Linked DNA regions of Bombyx mori. The protein of the gene in region 1 binds, or shares a complex with, the protein of each later gene. Links are inferred from orthologs where the notes say so. Each region holds a gene or a part of one and is shown on either strand. Other genes may lie near its edges.

Region 1 (11,293 bases):
AGGTCTCAGCATAGTTATAACGGCTGCCCCACCCTTCAAACTGAAACGCATTACTGCTTCACGGCAGAAATTGGCGGGGTGGTGGTACCTACCCGTGCGGACTCACACGATGTTATTCCTTCACCGTAGAAGTCAATCGTGAACAGTTGTTGAGTACGTCTTATCCTTTAGGCCACGACGACTTCATATCTCAAGGTGGGTGGCGGCATTTACGTTGTAGATGTCTATGGGCTCCAATGACTACTTAACACCAGGTCTGCCGTGAAATCGTCCACCCATCTAAGCAATGAAAAACATGCTTAGACAGTACTGCGCCTTCCTCATCCTGTCTGTTGCTATCTTTATGAAGTGGAGAAGGTTCAACTCCCACACTCACTCAACCGCCCAAGGATGTCTGTATCTGGACAATATGTCGTGTCCATGAAAAAAGTGAATATTTTGTCATATGAAAAAACTGGTAAAATCCCTCTCGCACTAAGATTAAGATTTTTTTTGTGGGTTTTCCAATTTTGTACCTACACAACGAAGAATAAATTCGTCAGATAGCTCAAGCGTTTCTGAAGCGATGCTCCGTCATGCAGATAGCAATTTATTTATGTTTGTTAATTCAAATTGTGCAATAACTAGATTTAGAAGGGAAATTATTTATGAAGTTAAAGGCTGTACAAGTTTAGTGGTGTTAAGTTTTCGTGGCAATAATCTCAAGATATTGTCATTTATTAATTAAATACATCATGATTTCACATTTTACAAAAGCTAAACTCGAAGTATTTTATTGTTTATTACAAAATTATCACATGTTTTATTCGGCCGTTAAATAAGCCATTGAAAGTTCTTGTCAGTTCTTACTTATTAAATTAATAAAAATTAAATGGTAATTTCCAAAAAAAAACAATTAAGGCAATCCAAGCATGACACAATAAATACATTTAATAAATTTTTCTAGACAATTACTGGTATTTTAGGCGTATTTTAAGCCCGCACGGGTAAGTAGGGGCTTGCCTATTTCTACGGCAATATGAGCTCATATCTCAAAATGGCTGGCGGCATTCACAATGTGATGCAATCGGGCTTCAATAATCACTTAACATCAGATGGGCCGTGTTCTCAACTACGCATCAATGCAATAAAAAAAGCTCATATGATTTACGTATCGACAGCATCAGAATATGAAACTTTATTAAACATTTACTAAAATACTAAATACCGATTTGTAACGTCGTACCATAATACGTTCCAGCTGATTGTTAATTAAAATACCATTAATGACTGATACGTATTTTATAAGTGAAACGCAACGTATCTATAATAGCCGGCAAACTTCTTGAGCATTTGTCGACGTAGTGGGGGTAAGTTCGCGCATGGTACACTCACGTGCAAAAACATTATTTATTCTGCGTCATAATGCTATTAAATTATTAATATCAACATAATTATTATGTATTTATTTATATATTTATTAAAACATCAACAAAAAATATAGGTTAATAATTGTAATAATTTGATCTTGGGGTAAAATAGATATTCCTTCTATTAAGTCAAAACTAGAGCTGTTGCCAGGTCTTCGTTCAGTTGAAGCGAAGCTGGTACTTGTAATTTTTTTTTCGTTATCATAATCTTGACCATCATCATCCTTCTCCTGTTTTAAAATGAAGCAATATACGTCGTACACAATTTTTCTACCCTTTCTTTTGATTACTACACCAGTTTGTCGCGGCATAGTGTATTTTTTATAAAAAATCAACAAACACTCAACATATAGAAATGGCAACAAAGTCAACAAGCAATTATAACAAATAACTTAACAATTAATAACGATAGACTTTTCACTGTACGCAAGCGTACTTTTGGGAGCAAGCGGAAAGAGGGCGCGGTGCGGGACGCAAGGTTCGACTGATCTACCAATAACGCGCTCGATACGATTTCCCCTGCCGTCGCGCCTCACCCTCACCACCAAAGTGATCTAAAATTCGGTTCTGCGCAGTCAAGGTCATTTGCTCAAGAAGTTTGCCGGTTACTATACTTAATTTAATTACTACTTAAATGACGGAGTATTGCTTGTGAAATGTCTATCCGATGATTTGCAAACGAAGTAAATTGCCCCTTCGTAATAAGGTGACATTTTACCAAACTTGTCATAACCTATGCAAGTGTAGGGTTCGCTCAAGCGGCCCGCACTAATTTGAAACCCTTTCAAGTCATTCAATCCTGATTTTGCAGGATAGCCGTCGGAGCACCATGGTTCATGAGGAACGTGGATCTCCATGATGATCTGGAGCTTGACTCCAACAATAGGTAGGTATCTTCAGTCGGCACCAGTGCCACTTTGAGAAGGCGGCGCGACACGAAAACCTTCATGTGGCCGCCGGAAATTACATACCCGATCCAATGGACCGAATGGTAAACAGTCAACGTCACCCTAATCACGTTATTACGGATCTTCCCGATCCATTAACGGTGCTTTTAGGTACCTCAAGCACCAGTCACCGTCCTCGCCGAACCCGTCGCTTGCGACGAAGGGCTCGACTAATAAATTAACCCATAGACACAGCCCACAGAGTTTCTCGCCGGATCTGCTCAGTGGGTCGCGTTTCCGATCTGGTGGTAGATTCTGGGAATTCGATTCGATTCTATCTGCATAGTTAAGAAAAAAAAGCTGTATTTTATCTGTCTCATCTTTCAAAGCGGAACGCTTGGTTGCTTCGTGGCAACCAAGTGGCAAATGTAGGCATTAAAGTGGTAACTGTCTTAATGGGCTTACAATACGTCCTACCAGTAAAACATTGTATTAAAGCGATTAGTTAAGTTGGAAATTTGAGTTCATTTCACATATTAGTGTTGCAATTCACTACCAACATTGTTTTATGAGCCAAATTCGACTGCAGCGCCATCTAGTTGCTAGTCCCGAAGATTTCTAGAGAAACAATGCGTGTCGTGAAAAATACCTAATATTTGTAATTGAACTATATGAATATAGTCTTTTACAAAAAAAAAAGTTTTGGTATTAGACGTGCTGTTCTAAATGAGTGAGCGGAGATCATTTGCGAGTGGGTGGTACTTATATGATGTGTATGCACTACGCTATCCTCAACACTAAAAGAGCCGTGAGCATTCGCATCTATAGAGCTGTAAAAATAAAATAAAACGAAAAGCACAGGACGGTGGTATCAGAAATGTACATGTTGATAATACGAGAAACTACCCGGTCCCGGAAGTCTTAGACAATGTTGCAATGTACTAATGTTAACGATCGTAAAAATTGTTCACAAACCTATGGGATCGACTTGCGGAACAGATTAAGTCACGTTGTCTTGCAGTATTTCAGGCTGAGTCCTGTGAACTCGCCCACGAGTTATAGGGAAGCCAGAATAAGCCAATGGCAGATAGGTAGACAAAAGCTAGGAGTTCGAGGACTTAACCTGAGAGAATTTGCTAGTGCTACCTCTATCAAGATCGGATCGGAATCGCGACCAAATGAGAAGGTCCGGCGAGAAACTCAGTGGGTTGTATCTGGGCTAATTCGCTCGTCGAACTCTTCGTCGTAATGATCGATTCCGACGAGGACGTTGCTTGAGGGGCCTAAAAGCACGGTGAGTGGATTCAGATGATTTAACAAGACATGTTTCGGGTGAGGACGTCTTTGCGTTGCCGTGTTATCGTGTCGGACTGCTTTGTCAAAGTAGTAGGGACCTTAAGACGTTATCAGTGTGCTTAGTGCGAGTTTTTTAACGTTCTCGATAGCGTAAAAGTGAAGCCGTGTGCAGTTGGAACAGCGCCCCTAGCGGCAAACGTACGCAAACGTTCCCGTTCCGTACAAATACGAGGTAACTTTTACGCTATCGAGAACGTTAAAAAACTCGCACTAAGCACACTGAGGTGATCACAGGCTATTACGTATGGAGGTAGAAATGTGAAAGAGATGATTCCGCGGATTGACTCACAAAACGTTAATAGAACATGTTACAATTAAATAAATAAATAGCGTGTTTTTGTACTTTTTCATAACTGTTAAAAGTTTACATACAAAGAACCAAGAGCATAATATATTATAATTTCAATATGTATAGAATGTTTTAGATACATTTTTGTCACGGTTGGATCATTATGCTTAGTAAGTTTCTTAACTTCTCGTGCCCCATACGTTTGCCGCTAGGGGCGCTGTTCCAGCTTCATACATATTTGAGTTAACTTTTACGCGGTCGAGAACTTTAGAAACTCGCACTGAGCTCACTGGTCAAGCCTCTAAGCGACTGCCGCAAATATACAAAATGACCAAATGTGTTGAAGCAACTTGAGTCACTGTTCGTTGATGATATTAAGTTAGAAACCATGCAAGAACTGAAAATTATACTATAATTTCAACATTTCAACACGTAAAAGACAAATACAAATTCCACTACAAAATATGAATCTCTTCTTCACACACTGAATGAGCCCACAAGTAAATTGAAGGTTACAAATTGCCCAGTCGATAAATATTTTGACTCAGCTTCATCAAACACGTTAAAATACATAAATAATTTAGAAAAAGTAAACTTCAAAAAAGTTGACTCAAATTTTATATTTCATACATATCTTTGACAATATGGTAGGTGAATTGTGGACGAAAGAATAAAAGGGTTTAGATTGTTTAATAAATTAAATTACAAGACCACACAGCAAAGATCACATCAGGCCTCGTTATAATAATCACACAGAAGTTCGGAATTATCATTTGCAATTTTTGCGTTCCCATACCCCGAACGTCTTACCGTACACAAAACCGTGATTATGGGTTTAAATAATGTACTACATTACGAGAACCAATACATTTAATTGGCCATGGCTGAAATAAAACAAATACATTGGCCCCCCTCCCTTCAGCCAGATGTCGCAAGTAAGCAAGCCGTGTGAAGTATCCGCACTGGATAACGAATTTGTTTTGGCGCCAAAATCACACGATCGTCCTTGCCTTGTACAAAACGAAAGTAAAACAACAGAAATAAACAGGGTTATATTAAAATCATAATATGAAAATATTCAAATATCAGCTGAAAATGCATCCAGCCTTCTTCTGTTTATTAAATATTCACTACATTACTTTATACATCACCAATTTCTTAAGTAAATTCAGTTTTTGTACAATATAAAAAGAATCTTATATTATCATCTATGTATACATACCTACACGCGAGATGTGTATAACGCGCTCGCGTAAGTTAATCTTGATCTAACCGAGCGAAAGAAAATAAACGAGAAATCGTAACAAAATATTTAGAATTATTGGTAAAATTATTACAAGTAACTACACTATATTTTATGTTCAACATTTTATGTCAATATTCAATTATTATCTATACTTAATCGAGCCTATGATATAACATTATAAATGATGAAAACATTTTTCTTCGTGATATTATTCAACAATTAATCCATTAACAACTCTCATCCATTCACTCTTGCCTATCGAAAGGATATTAAAACTAATCTCAGTAACAACATAAGGTCCGTATTAATGACAGTCTCTGATTTTTTCCCCTTTGGGTTTCCGGCCTCTTTTCTTGCCGGAAGTGACGCCGGCGAGCGCCATCGCGGCGCGCTTCGCGATACACGACTTGCAGAACCAGTCCTCCGTGGCGCCCGGCTCCTCCGTGATGCCCACGCACACCCAGTGGTACCAGCCATCGCATCCGTCGCAGCCGATCATCGGCGAACCGTTGTCCGGTCTGCCGCACGCCGGACAAACCCATATTTTGTTGCCCTGTTCATCAACATAATAAGGGGTAGGGAGGGGTTCGAGCTTAGTGTCGGGGGGCGGGGCGGGGGCGGGTGCCGGCGCCACGGCCGGTTCCTCAGACAACGTTGCGATTTCGTCTTCAAAGTGCTCGTGGCCCTTCTTCGCCAACGGCTTGAACAATATCCTTTTGTATTTCGAATGACTCGAGGGCGTGCCCTTCTCGGGCGGTGAGCTGCCCGAGGGGGGCGGCGAGGGCTGAGGCTCTCCGTCTGCGAGGTGATTGTGTTTAGAATGTTTTTGTTTGGGTGGTCTAGTAACGAGAGCCGAAATCTGAGCTAACTCAGGCGAACGACTGTGCTCCCTGGACAAAGGTTCGTCTTTTACTGGACTGTCCTCTTCTTCTTTCTTCACTACAGGTTTTATATTTAATTTGAAAGTATCGGGCGAGCTTGGTGGCATAGGTGAATTAGAATTTGAAGAACTTATTTTCAACGTCAATTTCGGAACAAGACCATCGCCAATTTTATCTTTTTTCTTCTCTTTCTTTTCTTTTTTTATTTTATCTTTTAATTCTTGTTTTTCTTCTTTATCGCGCTTTTTCTCAGACTTATCTTTGTTTTTGTCCTTTTTATCTTTCTTCTTTTTAATTTTTACACCATCTTTGTCTTTCTTTTCTTTTTTATGGGATTTATCCTTCTTTTTATCTGTGTTTTCGGTGTCTTTTTCTAGAATAGAATCCGGTGTAGCCATCCTGACGGGAGGCATTTCCCTTACCGGTTCAGATTCAGGATCAGGCTTGGAGATAGGCACACGTGGAGGTATTGGTGGCGTAGGTCCTACAGGCCTGGCTGGAGCAGACACACGAGCTTGATTGAGTGCATCCCGGGGTGGCTCATGATGTCTAATACCTTCTGATTTCGGAGGATTCAGTTCAATTGTTATGTCTGGTTGTACAAGAGGCATTTTGAACAAATTAGCCTTGTGATCCTTATGCGACTTAGACTTGTGTTTCTGTAATATATTTGGAATGGTCTGAGATTTGTGCTTATCGTGGCGGTCCTTTTCACGATTCATTGAAGACTTATGAATACCTCTGTCCTCATCATTTTCTACTGCTATTACCTCCAAACTCGGTCGACGGAGCATTGGTGGTATTTTAACGGAAGAAGATCTCGATGATTGGGCAAAATTTCCCATAGGCATCAGAGGAGAATTCAAGCCTCCAGGTAAGAAACTAGGACCAGGAATGAGACCAGGACCACTGGTTCCCAAAGCAAATGGATTGTTTAATAAATTACAGGGTGGCATACCTCTTAGTGCTGGATTGTTTGCTAGACCAGTGAAGAATTCACTTCCTGGTATCAATCCAGGGTTCGGGATGAGACCAGGGCCGGGCATAAGACCTCTTCCAGGTGGCATTGTATGAAAAAATGGAAAACCAGCTGGCATTTGTGGCAATTTTGATTCATTTTTCTGTCTACTGATTTTATGTTGTTTCATTCCAGCCAATTTCATACTTTGCTTTTCAGCTTGTGCCATTTCATAGGCTAATTGTTGTTGTTGCTTCTTCAACAATTTAGCTTCTAATTTTGCTGCTTTATCTTTCTTGTCTTTGTGTTTTTTCTCTTTTTTAACTTTAGGACTAACACTCGGTAGATCTTTGGGAAAAGGGGTTTGTAAGGACTTGTTGATTGATATATTAGGTTTAGATTCCAGTAGTTGTCTTTGCTGTGGTGTAGGGTTTCTGTCCAAAGAATCCTCATCAATATTAATCACTTCATTACTTCTTAAATCCATCACTTTAGACAAATCTACAGCACTATCGTCATTATTGTTCACAATTTGGTCTATCACTTCAGATTTCATTCTTGCATTTTCATTTGACTTATGAACTGAATTTTGATGTGATGCATTTTGCAACCTTGAAATAGTAGCATCAAGATTTACTTTATCATTTACAACCTCTGGAGTAGTCTTATCTTCTTTTGATTTGTTCGTTATTCTCTTAAATATATTAATCTTTGATTTATCAGGTTGAGAGGCCAATTTCTCATCTTCATCTAAAACTTCTCTCTTTATTTCAGTGTGAGGAATGAGAGAATTACTCATAGACTGCTGTTTAGGTGTGGTGATGGAATTAGATACTAGAGGAGATAATGAGATTGGAATTTTTCTAGGGACCGGTATTGCATCTTCAACAGAAAGCCTTCTGGATATTGGTGACGGAGGATCCAATGGTTCCTGTTTTATGACAGGTTTTACTGGCTCTGGAATAGGCACCAGTGCAGGAGGAGGTGCCATCTTTGCTCTTGAAGGAGGAGGTGGAGGGGCAGCTTCAGGCGCTGGCATAGTTATATGATTATGGTGTCTGGGCTGCACATCCTTACTTTTTACAGGATAACCAGGAGGAAATTTATTTAATTTATTACTGTCCTTATTTTTACCACTTTCACTCTTATGTTTATCTTTTCTTTTACTCTTCATAATTTTACCATTAGGTAATTTATTTTTCTTAGATTTCTTATCAACTTTTTCTAAAATTGGAGGTTTAGTTACATTTGTATGAGAATTAACTTTGTGCTTTTCAAAGTGCTTTTCTGCTATAATTGTAGGAGGACGGGCTTCGGGAAGTTTACCTTCACGGGCTGGTGACAGAAAACCAGACATGGTCATCATCACACTACTTATTTCTCTCGTTCTCTCCTCTTCCTCTAAGCGTAACCGTGGCCTTTTACTATTAGGTAAAGAAACAGGATCAATTGGTCTCTTAAAAATTTCCTTTGATTTCTCAGGACTGTCTGTGACAGATATTTCTGGACTTGTACATATGGTATTATTGCTAGTGACATTATCAATACCATTTTGATGTATTTCAATAGTGCCTGCAACAGCCGGTGTGTCTCTCTCTTTCTCTGGATACATAGGAGGCAGATGCTCATGCACGTGCATGGGCCTTGTGACAACTTCATGACTTCCTGGTTTTAAGAAGTTTAAGTTCGATTCTTTCGGTTTTGGGAATTTAACAGAGTTTACTGGAGGTGGAACAGGAGGTACACAACGCACATATTCAGCAAGCTCCGGCAAATTCACATTAAGGTCACGGAATACTAATCCTAAGTCATGTAAATTTGGTTCAGTCCTATTAAATTGTTCAGCATGCCTACTGGCTTGGATGCCAAGGGTTTTGATATATTTCTCCAGTACATGTACCAAAATGTCAAGTGGCGTTGAGTTTATGCCGTTCCATCCTATAGTTTGGCATATTTGCGCAACATTCCTCCGTAGTATCTCGCGGGCGTACGCCTCTGACATTATGACACCAACAACGTTATCTGGAACAAATGTTTATATCGGTATTATAAACATAAATCAGCATAATTCAAATGGCGTCGAAGCGAAGAAATGCTGTACAAGCATTTTCGATCACAGAGAATCATATTACAAGCCGTCAAAGTGGTAAAACAAGGAAACTCGTGATTTTTATACCTGCAAGTGTCCAGTAGTACAGAGACGTGGTTCTGAACTGCTGAAATTCTCAAGTTTTGTACATACATGTATGCTTAACTATGATTATATAAAGTCAAGGGTAATTTATAAAAACACACAAATCGATGGCAATATAAATTAACGAAGTGTTTACGTAAAAACTTCTCAGCATTCTAAAAACACAGTACCCCGTGCGCCATGATTGCATTTTGGGTTGTCAATGTCGAGTGTTGCTATTTGAAAATAAACAAATGGCGGTCTTCTTATGGCAGCGTTCAATGATACTAGTGATAGACTAAAATTGATTACAGGGAGCATTTGCTTTGCGACTTTATTCAAAGATGTTTTATTTATAGTTTCTTTTTAATTCATTTCCTTTCAATTAGTTTATTTTTGTTTAAATCAAATAAATAATTAAAAAAAAATTAAGCTACCGTAATCCTCATAATCGGTTAAGCTTGGGTGATCTTTAACACAGATATTCCAGATTTCAAACTATTCAACATGGGCGTGCCGGATAGTCTCGTGCTCATCATACGGGACTTCTTGTCAAACCGCTCTTTTCGATATCGAGTCGAGGGAACCCGCTCCTCCCCACGACCTCTCACAGCTGGAGTCCCGCAAGGCTCTGTCCTCTCACCCCTCCTATTTAGCTTATTCGTCAACGATATTCCCCGGTCGCCGCCGACCCATTTAGCTTTATTCGCCGACGACACGACTGTTTACTATTCTAGTAGAAATAAGTCCCTAATCGCAAAGAAGCTTCAGAGCGCAGCCCTAGCCCTAGTACAGTGGTTCCGAAAATGGCGCATAGACATCAACCCAGCGAAAAGTACAGCGGTGCTATTTCAGAGGGGAAGCTCCACACGGATTTCCTCCCGGATTAGGAGGAGGAATCTCACACCCCCGATTACTCTCTTTAGACAACCCATACCCTGGGCCAGGAAGGTCAAGTACCTGGGCGTTACCCTGGATGCATCGATGACATTCCGCCCGCATATAAAATCAGTCCGTGACCGTGCCGCGTTTATTCTCGGTAGACTCTACCCCATGATCTGTAAGCGGAGTAAAATGTCCCTTCGGAACAAGGTGACACTTTACAAAACTTGCATAAGGCCCGTCATGACTTACGCGAGTGTGGTGTTCGCTCACGCGGCCCGCACACACATAGACACCCTCCAATCCCTACAATCCCGCTTTTGCAGGTTAGCTGTCGGGGCTCCGTGGTTCGTGAGGAACGTTGACCTACACGACGACCTGGGCCTCGAATCAATTCGGAAATACATGAAGTCAGCGTCGGAACGATACTTCGATAAGGCTATGCGTCATGATAATCGCCTTATCGTAGCCGCCGTTGACTACTCCCCGAATCCTGATCATGCAGGAGCCAGTCACCGTCGACGCCCTAGACACGTCCTTACGGATCCATCAGATCCAATAACCTTTGCATTAGATGCCTTCAGCTCTAATACTAGGGGCAGGCTTAGGGACCCCGGTAACCGTACTCGTCGAACTCGACAAAGAGGTCGACGTGCAACCTAACCCATGCATCAGCCCGCTGAGTTTCTCGCCGGATCTTCTCAGCGGGTCGCGATTCCGATCCGGTAGTAGATTCATTCGCGAAACAATTGCTCTTGAGTTGTTAGGTCTCCTTCGGAGGCGCTCGGGCAGTTGTTAGCAAATCCCACCCCTCTTGGCTGAACCTTTGCTCGCCCACCTGTCCTGGTGAAACTGGAAAGGCCTTCGGGCCACCAGTAAACTTTCAATCATAAAAAAAAAAAAAGATATTCCAGAAAACTAATGTCTCTTCTTTTTCTTGCCCTTATTCCACATTATATGAGGTCAGCGCAGTGTGTCCTTTTATTATGCTGTATAGGGATTTGGCATGAGTTTTACGATGCTGGAAACGCTATTGTTATGTCAACGACAGCATAGTATTCCCAACATAGTCAGAAGAAGTCCGAAATTTGTCTTTTATGACACCCACGGATAGATATGGGTCGATCCAACTCTATGTCGGAAACCGATATTGAAAGATAATTTTGATTACATGCATGTTTAATGTATAGTTAATTATGGAAACATTGATGG
Region 2 (10,696 bases), on another chromosome or scaffold:
GGAACCCGGATGTGGTAAGGGGGTTACCGCTATCAACACTACAACCAGACGGCGCGGCTCATCCCAAGGACCCCCGGTCGACGGAGCCTTCGAGGCGAATCGAAGGCTCTGAAACGACGGCCGTCGACGGTACGGCAGCCCGTCAGGCCGCCCAGACGGTGCCGCAGGTGTCCCGGAATACCCCGCTGACGTCACTGACACTATTTTTTTTTCTACTTTAAATACTGGATGAAAGGTTTATTTGAGGCCTATAAAATCAAAGGCAGCTAAACGCCTTAAAATGTAGTAAAATGGATTAACTATGGCGCCATCTTGTTTAGTTAGTTGGACCCGCTTTAGTATTTTCATGTTATAAGAAATGCAGCTAAATTTCTAGCCAATTCAGGTCAAAAATTTTACTTTTACTTTGTACACAAATATAAACGAAGTTTAATCATTTAAAATTCAGATTATTACTAATATTCTCATTCTTTATAAATCTGCTTTAAAATAAAGAATATCGTAGCTACCCGAACAAAGTTATTTCAGTTTCTCAAACCGGGAGTGTTGCTAACACTGGCCCTAGCAAGAGCAGTACTTCGATGGATCAGGAGGATCCGTAATGACGTGTTTAGGGCCGATTTTTGTAGTTTACCTGAATATTTGACAGAATTGGATTTAGCTGCTTTGATTTTATAGGCCTCATTTGGTTTGTTCAGTGACACGCGGGACGGGTTGCGCGTGACGTGCGCGCCCGTGGCGGGCGGGCGCGTGGTATCGGCGGCGGGCGAGGGGCGGGCCGCCTTCGCCGCCCACACGCGCGCGCTCGCCTACGACTGCGAGCTCGACGCCGTGCTCGACAGCGTCGTCGGCAACTGCAAGGACTGCTTCATATCGCTGCGAGGTCAGTTGTCATTCTCATTATTCAGCACCAATCAGTGCGCTCAGTGCAAGTTTTTAACGTTCTCGATAGCGACAGCGCCCCTAGTGGCAAACGTAGGTAAACGTTCCAACTCCATAAAATTTGAGTTAACTTTTACGCTATCGATAACATTAAAAAACTCGTACTAAGCACATTGATATCTTCCGTTACATCTATTTGTTTCTTGAAAATAAGTTTGTATATCTGATACAGTTAAGAGATAAATTGGTACGTAATAAATTTAAAAGACGTTGTTTATTTATGATTAATACACTAAACTTTATTAAATACTAGCTTTTGCCCGCGACTTCGTTCGCGTGGAATAGTTACTTTGGCATAACGCTAAATTTTACCTCCCACTTCATTTACGTAAAAAGTGAAAATATTTTTGAATTATAGAATATTAAGGAGCTATTTAAACCCCTATTTTGAAACATTCTTTATTGGTACTCCACTTGTATTGTCTTACCGTTAGCCTATAGCCTTCCTGAATAAATGAGCTATGTAACACTGAAAGAATTTTTCAAATCGGACCAGTAGTTCCTGAGATTAGCGCGTTCAATCAAACAAACTCTTCAGCTTTAAAATATTAGTATAGACAATACGTCAATGACGTCTTGTGGCGTTCCATTCTAGAAGGCCTTGGTCATAATTGACTGAAACGGATTACTATAATTGCAATTTAAATTAATTGATATTTATGTATTTCAGGTATATCGGACTATCGCGACGGCACCCGTGGGAAGGACTGGCAGCCCCACGCTGCACTATGCGCTGCTGCAGTCATGAAAGCCATAATCTGCGCAATAGACCCACCTCCTTCTGAATAATTTTCTTATCAAACGACTAGAAATCACAAAATGAATTACCACACAATATCTTACGCTATATTCTAAATAACGTGTTCAAAGTTATTCTCAAGATATAGATGAAAGAAATCTTAAACTTATTTAAAATTAACTCGTTATTAAATACATACCTTCAACAATTATTTATTTACAATTTTCAGTCTTATGTTAAATATTTTAGAACACAGATAACAAAAAAATGTGCTTGATACAGATTTACTAAAGCCACCTCTATAACAACAAATGTTTCTTTGTAAATTTGTTCTCTAGGCATTTCTAAATTGTTGATGTGATTTTAAGTGAAATTGAATATATATTTTTTTTTTTATTGCATATACGAGTGGACGAGCTCACAGCCCACCTGATGTTAAGTGGTTACTGGAACCCATAGACATCTACAACGTAAATGCGCCACCCACCTTGAGATATAAGTTCTAAGGTCTCAGTATAGTTACAATATATGATAGGTAGTTCAGAGATTTGTTATAGTACCATCAGGGTACAACAGGTGGCGCACGGGTAGTTTCAACAGATGATAGATCACTGCCAAGGGAGTTTCAGTTGGGTTTAATAATTGAAGGTTCTTAATTACAATTGTATTGTGTGGTCAATATATTTACGTGAATGCTTTATAGCACAGCACACTATAGCACTGAAACTTGACATTGATATGATAAGTTGATAAAAATAATTAATTTAAAACATATATGGAAGTACAAGTATGGAGAAACTATAGTTGCCTTGGATGTCTGCCATAAGATGAATCACATCAAGTGATAATAATAAGCTAAAATATATATCCTGATGTCATAGATAAAATATATTTACTAGATGTACATGTTTACTATAATATTTACATGCAGATTATAGGCAGACTTGTTGAGATTTTTTTGTAAAAGAAACAGAGAAAAATACTGGTGATTTACCAACAGATTGCTGTTCCAATCCATTCAACTAATTTTACGCTCAAAAGTAATGTCTTCCTGTTCTAATTTCTTTAGATCGGCAAAGAAAGTTCACGATGAAATTGATATTATGTAACTTTTACAAATTAAGATTGCAATGTCATTCCATTTAATGATATTTAAACAATAATTTATCAGCCCGAGCTTAGAAAGTATCTTAGGTTAATAAATTTAGAACTAACCTATTTATATTGTACTAACTGCCATAGACGGCCTATTTATAATATGAAATGTTTAAAATCTGTTATGAAAAAAACCAAAGTATGGACTTTTGATGTTTTATTGAACATCAAGTCTAGTCGCCTCTATTGTGAAACATTGTTAAAATATTTATTACAACCTACTTGGTGGAACATTGTATTTTTAAAATTAATATGTTTATAGATTGTTGACAAAAAAAACTTCATATAATATCAAGTTATTATTGTACCTACCAACATATTATAGACAAATATTAACCTAAAAGGATGTATGTAAAATTGTTATTTTATTTAATCATTAGAATAATAATATATTGCATAAATTTAATACAGAAAATTTAATTTTTTAAATTTTCTTTGCCACTAACTTTAATTTCTAGTATTGTTTATTTAGTGTTTACTGTATTTGCGCACAAATAAAGTTTACATATTAATCAAGTATGATTTTCTTTCAATTTGAATTTTTTTGTTAAAGAACTTAGAACAGTCCCTGTACATGATAATATATATTAGTTCCTTTTTTTAATCAGGGCCTAATCAAGGTCTTACACGTCATCTGGTCCAAAAGTAAGTTTTCCCGAACAGTATTAACAAATAAAAAATAAGGGTTGATCGTAGAGGGGTGAAAATTTAGGGTTGTATGTATTTTTGTATGCTGTATCATAAAAAAAATTGTCTAAAAAATAAATATTTTTTTTTAGATAAGTCATAGAGCAAAAAACACAATCTTTTTTATTTTATTATTATATTTAACAAACATTACTAAATATTCTAATACTACTCTGAAGAAAAACAAACAAGGATATTTGTCAGTAAGTTTTATTACTTATTACCTTACTAGCTTAATAAATTCATAATATCAAATAGTTAATTCATTTTTCATTTCACTGCTCTCCAAAGTCCCAAATTGGTATTACTTTTATCAGGTCCAATTATGTTTTTGGTATTCATTCTGAAATTTTAAATGCATAATTAGCCTATTACTCAATTTATTAACAATAAATTACTCCCCCACCAACAAACCTTGTTGGTGGAAACAAATTTGCAATTATTTAACATACAATTTTGAACACAACACATATATTTCCCATTAGCAACACAAATACTATTATGCTACAATTGCTAATCCTGTTGTTTTCTCTTAAAAAACATTCTACAGATAGTAGTGCTTTAATTTCTTTATCAAGCCAAACAGTTTTATGTGATATATCTAGGGTTAGAGTACCTATAAAGTAGTACAAGATGTAAATATTAGACATTCATTTCATTAGTACACAAATTCTCATATCCTAACATGCTAACTGTTCAAGCTGCTATCTCTTGCCAAAACACAACTTTCAAATACCAAAGTGCAAAAGTAACACATAAATTAACAATAAACAATAAAAATGCTTATGCAATATGAATTTCTAAACGTGAAAACATACGTGAAATTAATTATTATTGTTAAACAGATTATTTGCAATTTTTTTTTTGATAGCGGCATTGCATGGATGTCTTCCAGCTTCACCAAGATAAGGCAGGCCAGGTTGGACTTAGGCAGGAGGGGCAAGATTTGGAGATCAGTCAGGAGTAGGTTGATCCCCAGGAGCTTACCTACCAAATTGCAGCAATAAGTTATGGTCTGATTTTGTGCCAATGAAGCATCATTTGCAGGAAGAATTGCTTTCATTCAAAGAAAACAGCAGCTCAAGTGCATTGAGAAAATGTGAATGAAGCAACATGGCATTGATTGGTTCCGTCGCTCCACAGATGCGAAAGATGAAAACCTATTGTTCGATGAGGATTCATATCAAACATAAGATCAGCTTGTTTCGATATTAAGGGTTGCAAGCCAAGATTGGGCATATCCACTAGTGGGTAACACTTGATTCCCTTTAGAAGTGAAGCCAAATGATGTTGAACATTGTCTTTTCATCTGTGAACGACTACTCCAACAGTACAAAAGAAAGGGTTTTGCAATGATGAAACACACGGGGAGGAAAAGGACTAATGATAGACTCCCCGTTAATGTTTCTACATCATTGCCACTGCCAAATATTCAGCTTACGAAGGTTATACTGTGTATTTGGTGCAATCAGGTTGGCATTATATATTAAGAGCTGTGGAGCTGAACAAAACCTCCACTGAAGAATGATATAGAATATAATTAATGCAGTGAAGCTTAATGCAATGCTTACACTGCATGAAAAATGCCCACAAAATGAGCAGAGACACAAGAAAGTGATGCTCCTGCATGATAATATTAAGCTCCACAGTCCCAAATATTTTGCTGTTCGATTATTCTTTGTTCCATTTGATGGTATCTACTTGGCTGGTTGTTCCATTCATATACAGATATCAAACAATAGCTTAGTTTCATTCATAGATAATCTCAAAAATGACACTTCTATTTACCAAGGAGGTATTTGAACTTTGCCACAAAGATGAGAAAAATTGTGGCTAGTAATAGAAAATACTTTCATGATTCATTTGTGAGATTTTTTTTTAATAAAAATGCATATTCATTAAGAAAAATAGAATTTAGTTTTCACAATCAGATTCACATGCTACAATTTGGGCAAATACTACTTAACAGAACATTCTATAATATCGTTTGCACAAGGTCTTCTAACTCTATTACTATAATGATAACCTTATTGTTTATAATACACTGGTGATCACAATAAAATTTAAAAAAGTAGGTACTAAATATTATATATTTGATAGTAAATAAATATTATATTATATAGTATAATTTACCATACATTTAAAGTAATCAAAACAAATTACAGATACATCTACATTCAGGATCTTATTAAATTTACAACCATTCATGACATTAGTGTTGTTGTGAATGTGCAAACACAAAAGCAGTGTTATAATTAAATATATGTTACTTGCATCAATCAGTCTAGAAGCATGGCGTCGGTTGTATGGCCACAGTATGGTTACTGTTGGTCCTCTATAATTTCAAAACATTTCAATACAAACATTAATAATCACACTTTAGATGAAACATCTCAAACTGAAACACTACAATGATAGTAATATAGAATTGGATTTTTTAATGGGAATAAATTCACTCAAATTTTACAATCAAATGTACAACTCACCAACATATTTTACTTCATCAAAAGCTTTTCTAGCTTTCTTAAGTTCCTCATTCATTGTAAGAAGGTCTTTAACACGTGCATACTTTCGTGCATCTTTACGAACTAAGAAAATTATGTCTTCTACTTGGACTCTTCCTGTTCTACCAACTTCCATTGCCCTGTTATATATATTTTTAGTATTGTACTATTTAAATCTAGGATTGCATGAGTTCATGAGTCCACCTGGTGTGATGTGGTATACGGAGTGAAACACAAACATGAATATAAAGAAGAATAAAAATATTGAAGTTTTCTCAAGACACAAAAAAGTTTTTTTTTTATCTTACCTATGTGTTGTTTCTGTTATAAATTCAATAACTAAGTCTTCTAAAAAATCGACACTTTCAGTATACGGGTTTTGATCATCACCAAATCCATACATCATACATCTCAATTCCTTACTAAAAAGTCTTTTACGACCAGATGTAGTTCCACCTAACTGTTGCTCTTCTTCTTCATCAAACTACAAAGCAATACTTTTATGTACACAAAAGAACAAAAAAATAAACAAGCAACGGAAAATCAATAGTTTTACCTGGTCAAAGTTATCTTGCGAATCAGGAGTGGGAGTGGCCATGATATTGATTTACTAAAGTTTTTTTGTAAAACTTAAAACGTTTATTTGTAGAAATTTTACATAAATAAATAGTCAGTAGTGGTAGTAGTTTTGTTGTGGATTTTAAAACAAACGAGTTAAAGTAAAACAATGAACATCTTTTATTTTATGGAGAATGACATTGACATAGAGTTTTTTTAAGGGATTTTATGACCTGGTAACTGAGACCTTTAAGTCATGAAACAAAATGAAAAAAATGCTCTAGCAAAATATGCTAATATATATGATTTGCTAGTGGAGCCATGTGGCATTTTCAATAGCCAAGAGCGCCCATATCTTGCTGCATCTCCTGATGGTGTGTTGGGCGAAGAAGCTATAATTGAAGTGAAATGTCCATACGCTAGCAGAAAACATGAAATAAATATATCAACGGTGCCTTACTTAGAACGATGTAACGGGATATTGTCTCTAAAAAATCCTGCCCATACTATTATCAAATCCAAGGACAGTTATACTGCTCAGGCAAAACATACTGCAACTTGGTCATTTACACCTACAAGGACATCAAAGTGATTTATGTTGAAAAAGACAATAATTTTATAAATAATATGTTAAATAAATTAGATATCTTTTATGAAAATATTTTCAAAGAAGCATTGTATAAAAAATATCTGTATTATAACTATACACACTTGTCGAAATAAAAAATCAGGAATATTTTTAATTATTTTTATTGACAATTCCTTCTCTAAAGTTACATAAGTAACTTCTCTACTTTTTGTTTCTTCAGAAACTGGTTTCATATTCCATGAAAATATAGATGGTACAGCACCTTTCTTCAGATATTTATGTTAATGTTTGACACCTGCAACACAAAGAATAACATTTAAATATACTATCACAAGGAAAGCTGACCATAGTTTCAAAATATTTGTTATTGCAATGGATGCAGCGATTTAGATAGAACTTTCAATAGTAACAGCTGATAATGAACAACAGCTCATGAGGAATGTGTTTCCTCCAGTCTGATTTTGTGTTTGTTATAAGGTTCCTTACAGCATGAATCTACTTATTATTATTGGATTTTTTTAATAAGAGAACAATGATGTGTGCTACACCTAGTCATGCATTATATATATTTGACAGAAAGAAGCATACCTGTGTATTTACTAATGTTTTCATAGTCAGATTCCACAAAGTGTTTACGACATAACCTCGAACTTTCTGTATGAATACTTTTTTCGCGTCAAATGGCCTTTAACCACAGTCTTCCAATTTTCTTGTCCTTCGGGAATTGATGTACTCCAATTTCTGAGCATATTGGTACAAAACAACGCGTCATTGTGCTTAAAATAATTTTTAATCAAAAATTCCAATACAAATATTGAATGTTATGGGAACAATGCACACCAGCGCCACTTTGACAGTTGCCAACCCCATTGTGACGTCTACCTTGACGATTTTTCTAATATTTATGGAAACTTTAAACAATTTTAACTCGTAAACCGTGAGCCGTGAGTTAAGCCGGTCATAATGAATCCAATGACGTGAGTAAGACATTTTACTAGTTTCATTAATTTACTGCACCATGTTTAAAATGTGGGGTTCCGTTTGAAATTGAACACAAGTGATATTATGAAGATGAGTGATGTGAGGAAAAACAAACGAAACTTTTTGCTGTTGTCATTTTATTCAGTCCTCATTATAATCTAATGGATCAGACACCTAGTGTACTTCTATTGAACTACATATTATTATATGAATTTTCAAACCTTGCAGGAATTTTCAAATTTTTCTAAGGAAATCCATATTAACACATATTCATGAATGTTTTTCACAATGAAGGAATAACATCATGTAATGAAAATCATATCCACAAACTTGAGGTGTGGTTTTGTCAGACTGTACATGTAGGTTCCACAACCATGGGTATTTTTACTGCGAAGCTAGCTCTAGTTGAAAGGGTACATCAGTTGTTTTACTAAAAACTGAAGCCATGATTGAGATAGTCGACTCACTGTTCTCATCACAATGAGACAACAACTTAACACCAGTTGGGCTAGCTATGCTGATGTCCATGAGCAATGGTAACCACTTGCCATCAGATGGGTTATATGCTGTCGGTCTACAAAGGCAATAAAAAAAACTTTCATTTGTTAATCAGCAAATAATATATAAAAAAATTGGCCATATTCCATTGAGTGTTTAATTTTTTACAGAAATGTGAAGAATGTTTTAAAGCTTAGTGAACATGAATTAGGAAGCAGCTCAAAAACTTCTTGGCATGATCAATATAAGGACAGTGCATGGATATTTGTTGGTGGACTTCCATATGATTTGACTGAAGGAGATGTTATATGTGTATTTTCTCAGTAAGGTTTTTCACATTCATTATTACTTGCTGAAATAAAATATATATTTTTTATAGGGAGCTAGTTAATTATGTTTCTTAGATATATAGATATTCAGATATTGCATGAAGCCAATGGACATTTGTCAGTCACTGACCTAGATCTGAGTGTAATAATCATTCTACCAACAGCTATTACTAAGTAATGATCAATTTTTTATTTTATGAAAGGTATGGTGAAATTGTAAATATAAACATGGTAAGAGATAAAACAACTGGGAAACCAAAAGGATTTGCATTTTTGTGCTATGAGGATCAGAGATCAACAATTTTAGCAGTTGACAATCTGAATAGTATTAAGGTAAATATTAAAAGAGAGAATACTACTAAAAAAGAAAGTGAAAAACAGTTTATTATTATGGTGCATCATATGCATTTTATTTTTGTAGTTATGTAGACGTCATGCCCTAAAGGATAAGACATCCTGTGCATTCGTATATAGCAATGCAACAGTGTTCGAATCCTGCAGGCGGGTACCAATTTTTCTAATGAAATACGTACATAACAATTGTTTACGATTGACTTCCACGGTGAAGGAATAACATCGTGTAATAAAAATCAAACCTGCAAAATTATAATTTGCGTAATTACTGGTGGTAGGACCTCTTGTGAGTCCGCACGGGTAGGTACCACCGCCCCGCCTATTTCTGCCGTGAAGCAGTAATGCGTTTCGGTTTGAAGGGTGGGCCAGCCGTTGTAACTATACTGAGACCTTAGAACTTATACCTCAAGGTGTGTGGCGCATTTACGTTGTAGATGTCTATGGGTTCCAGTAACCACTTAACACCCGGTGGGCTGTGAGCTCGTCCACACATCTAGGCAATAAAAAAAATTAAAAAAGTAAAAAAATATTAATTGTTTTGCTATAGATTCTTGGGCGTACATTACGTGTTGATCATTGTGAACAGTATAAGGTTCCAAATGCAGACATGAGCAAAATTGATGAAGTCACAGCTGCAATAAGGATGGAAGGATGTGCTCCAGTTGCCCCAAAAATTGAAATCGTGAAAAAGGTAATAAATACTATAAATCATCACTAATATGCAAAGAAAACACACACACGCACACACGCACACACACACACACACACACACACACACACACACACCACACACACACCACACACACAGAGACACACTTCTGTAATTTTTCTTCGTTTCTCATGCTCTAATCTAGCAAGTTATTCTAATCATCTGTTATTAATTTCCATGATATTGGAATGAACTCACTTCCCATGCCTTACGAGGGGCTCAGAAAAGTGACAGACTATATTGTCATTTGGTGACCATATTGTCTACAATACTGTTGTCTTCGGATTTATGCCTGTTTTTCTTTTGCAGGAAAATGTAAAAGAAGGGAAAGTAAAGAAAAAGAAAAGCAAAGAGAAAAAGAGCAAAAAAAAGAAGAAAAAAATTAAAGGTTCAGGCACTACTTCTAGTGAATGAAAATGTAGAGCGTTCTTTTGATTTAGCTTTTTTATTATAAAATAAACTGGATCGCAAACTGGACGCAAATCATGATTCCTATGGTTTCTGTTGAATTTAAAACAATATATGCAATGAAAAGGTAATCATATAATTTTTCTTGTTTTATGTCTTGTGAGTAAACAAGGAATATAAAACACTTATAATACATTCTTACAGTTTATTATTTCCAAGATTTTCCTCAAAATGTATAATATT

The links.
Region 2: transcription initiation factor TFIID subunit 3 (region 1) and Taf13 share a complex: the UniProt entries of both Homo sapiens proteins name them as parts of the TFIID basal transcription factor complex. The link is inferred for Bombyx mori from reciprocal best matches to the Homo sapiens genes TAF3 and TAF13.

The regions. Positions count from the first base shown.
Region 1 is NC_085113.1:3,410,558-3,421,850, forward strand, and holds transcription initiation factor TFIID subunit 3, read right to left. Parts: upstream 9,489-11,293; 5' UTR 9,203-9,488; intron 9,049-9,202; 5' UTR 9,029-9,048; coding exon 5,492-9,028; 3' UTR 4,547-5,491; downstream 1-4,546. UniProt on the Homo sapiens protein: The TFIID basal transcription factor complex plays a major role in the initiation of RNA polymerase II (Pol II)-dependent transcription.
Region 2 is NC_085115.1:8,090,606-8,101,301, reverse strand, and holds Taf13 (TBP-associated factor 13), read right to left. Parts: upstream 6,754-10,696; 5' UTR 6,626-6,753; coding exon 6,584-6,625; intron 6,512-6,583; coding exon 6,336-6,511; intron 6,168-6,335; coding exon 6,010-6,167; coding exon of another isoform or gene 5,993-6,009; exon of another isoform or gene 5,859-5,992; coding exon 5,845-5,858; 3' UTR 5,798-5,844; exon of another isoform or gene 3,867-5,797; coding exon of another isoform or gene 3,862-3,866; 3' UTR 3,718-3,861; downstream 1-3,717. Other genes in the region: uncharacterized protein LOC101745370, read left to right, coding at 699-883, 1,613-1,731. UniProt on the Homo sapiens protein: The TFIID basal transcription factor complex plays a major role in the initiation of RNA polymerase II (Pol II)-dependent transcription.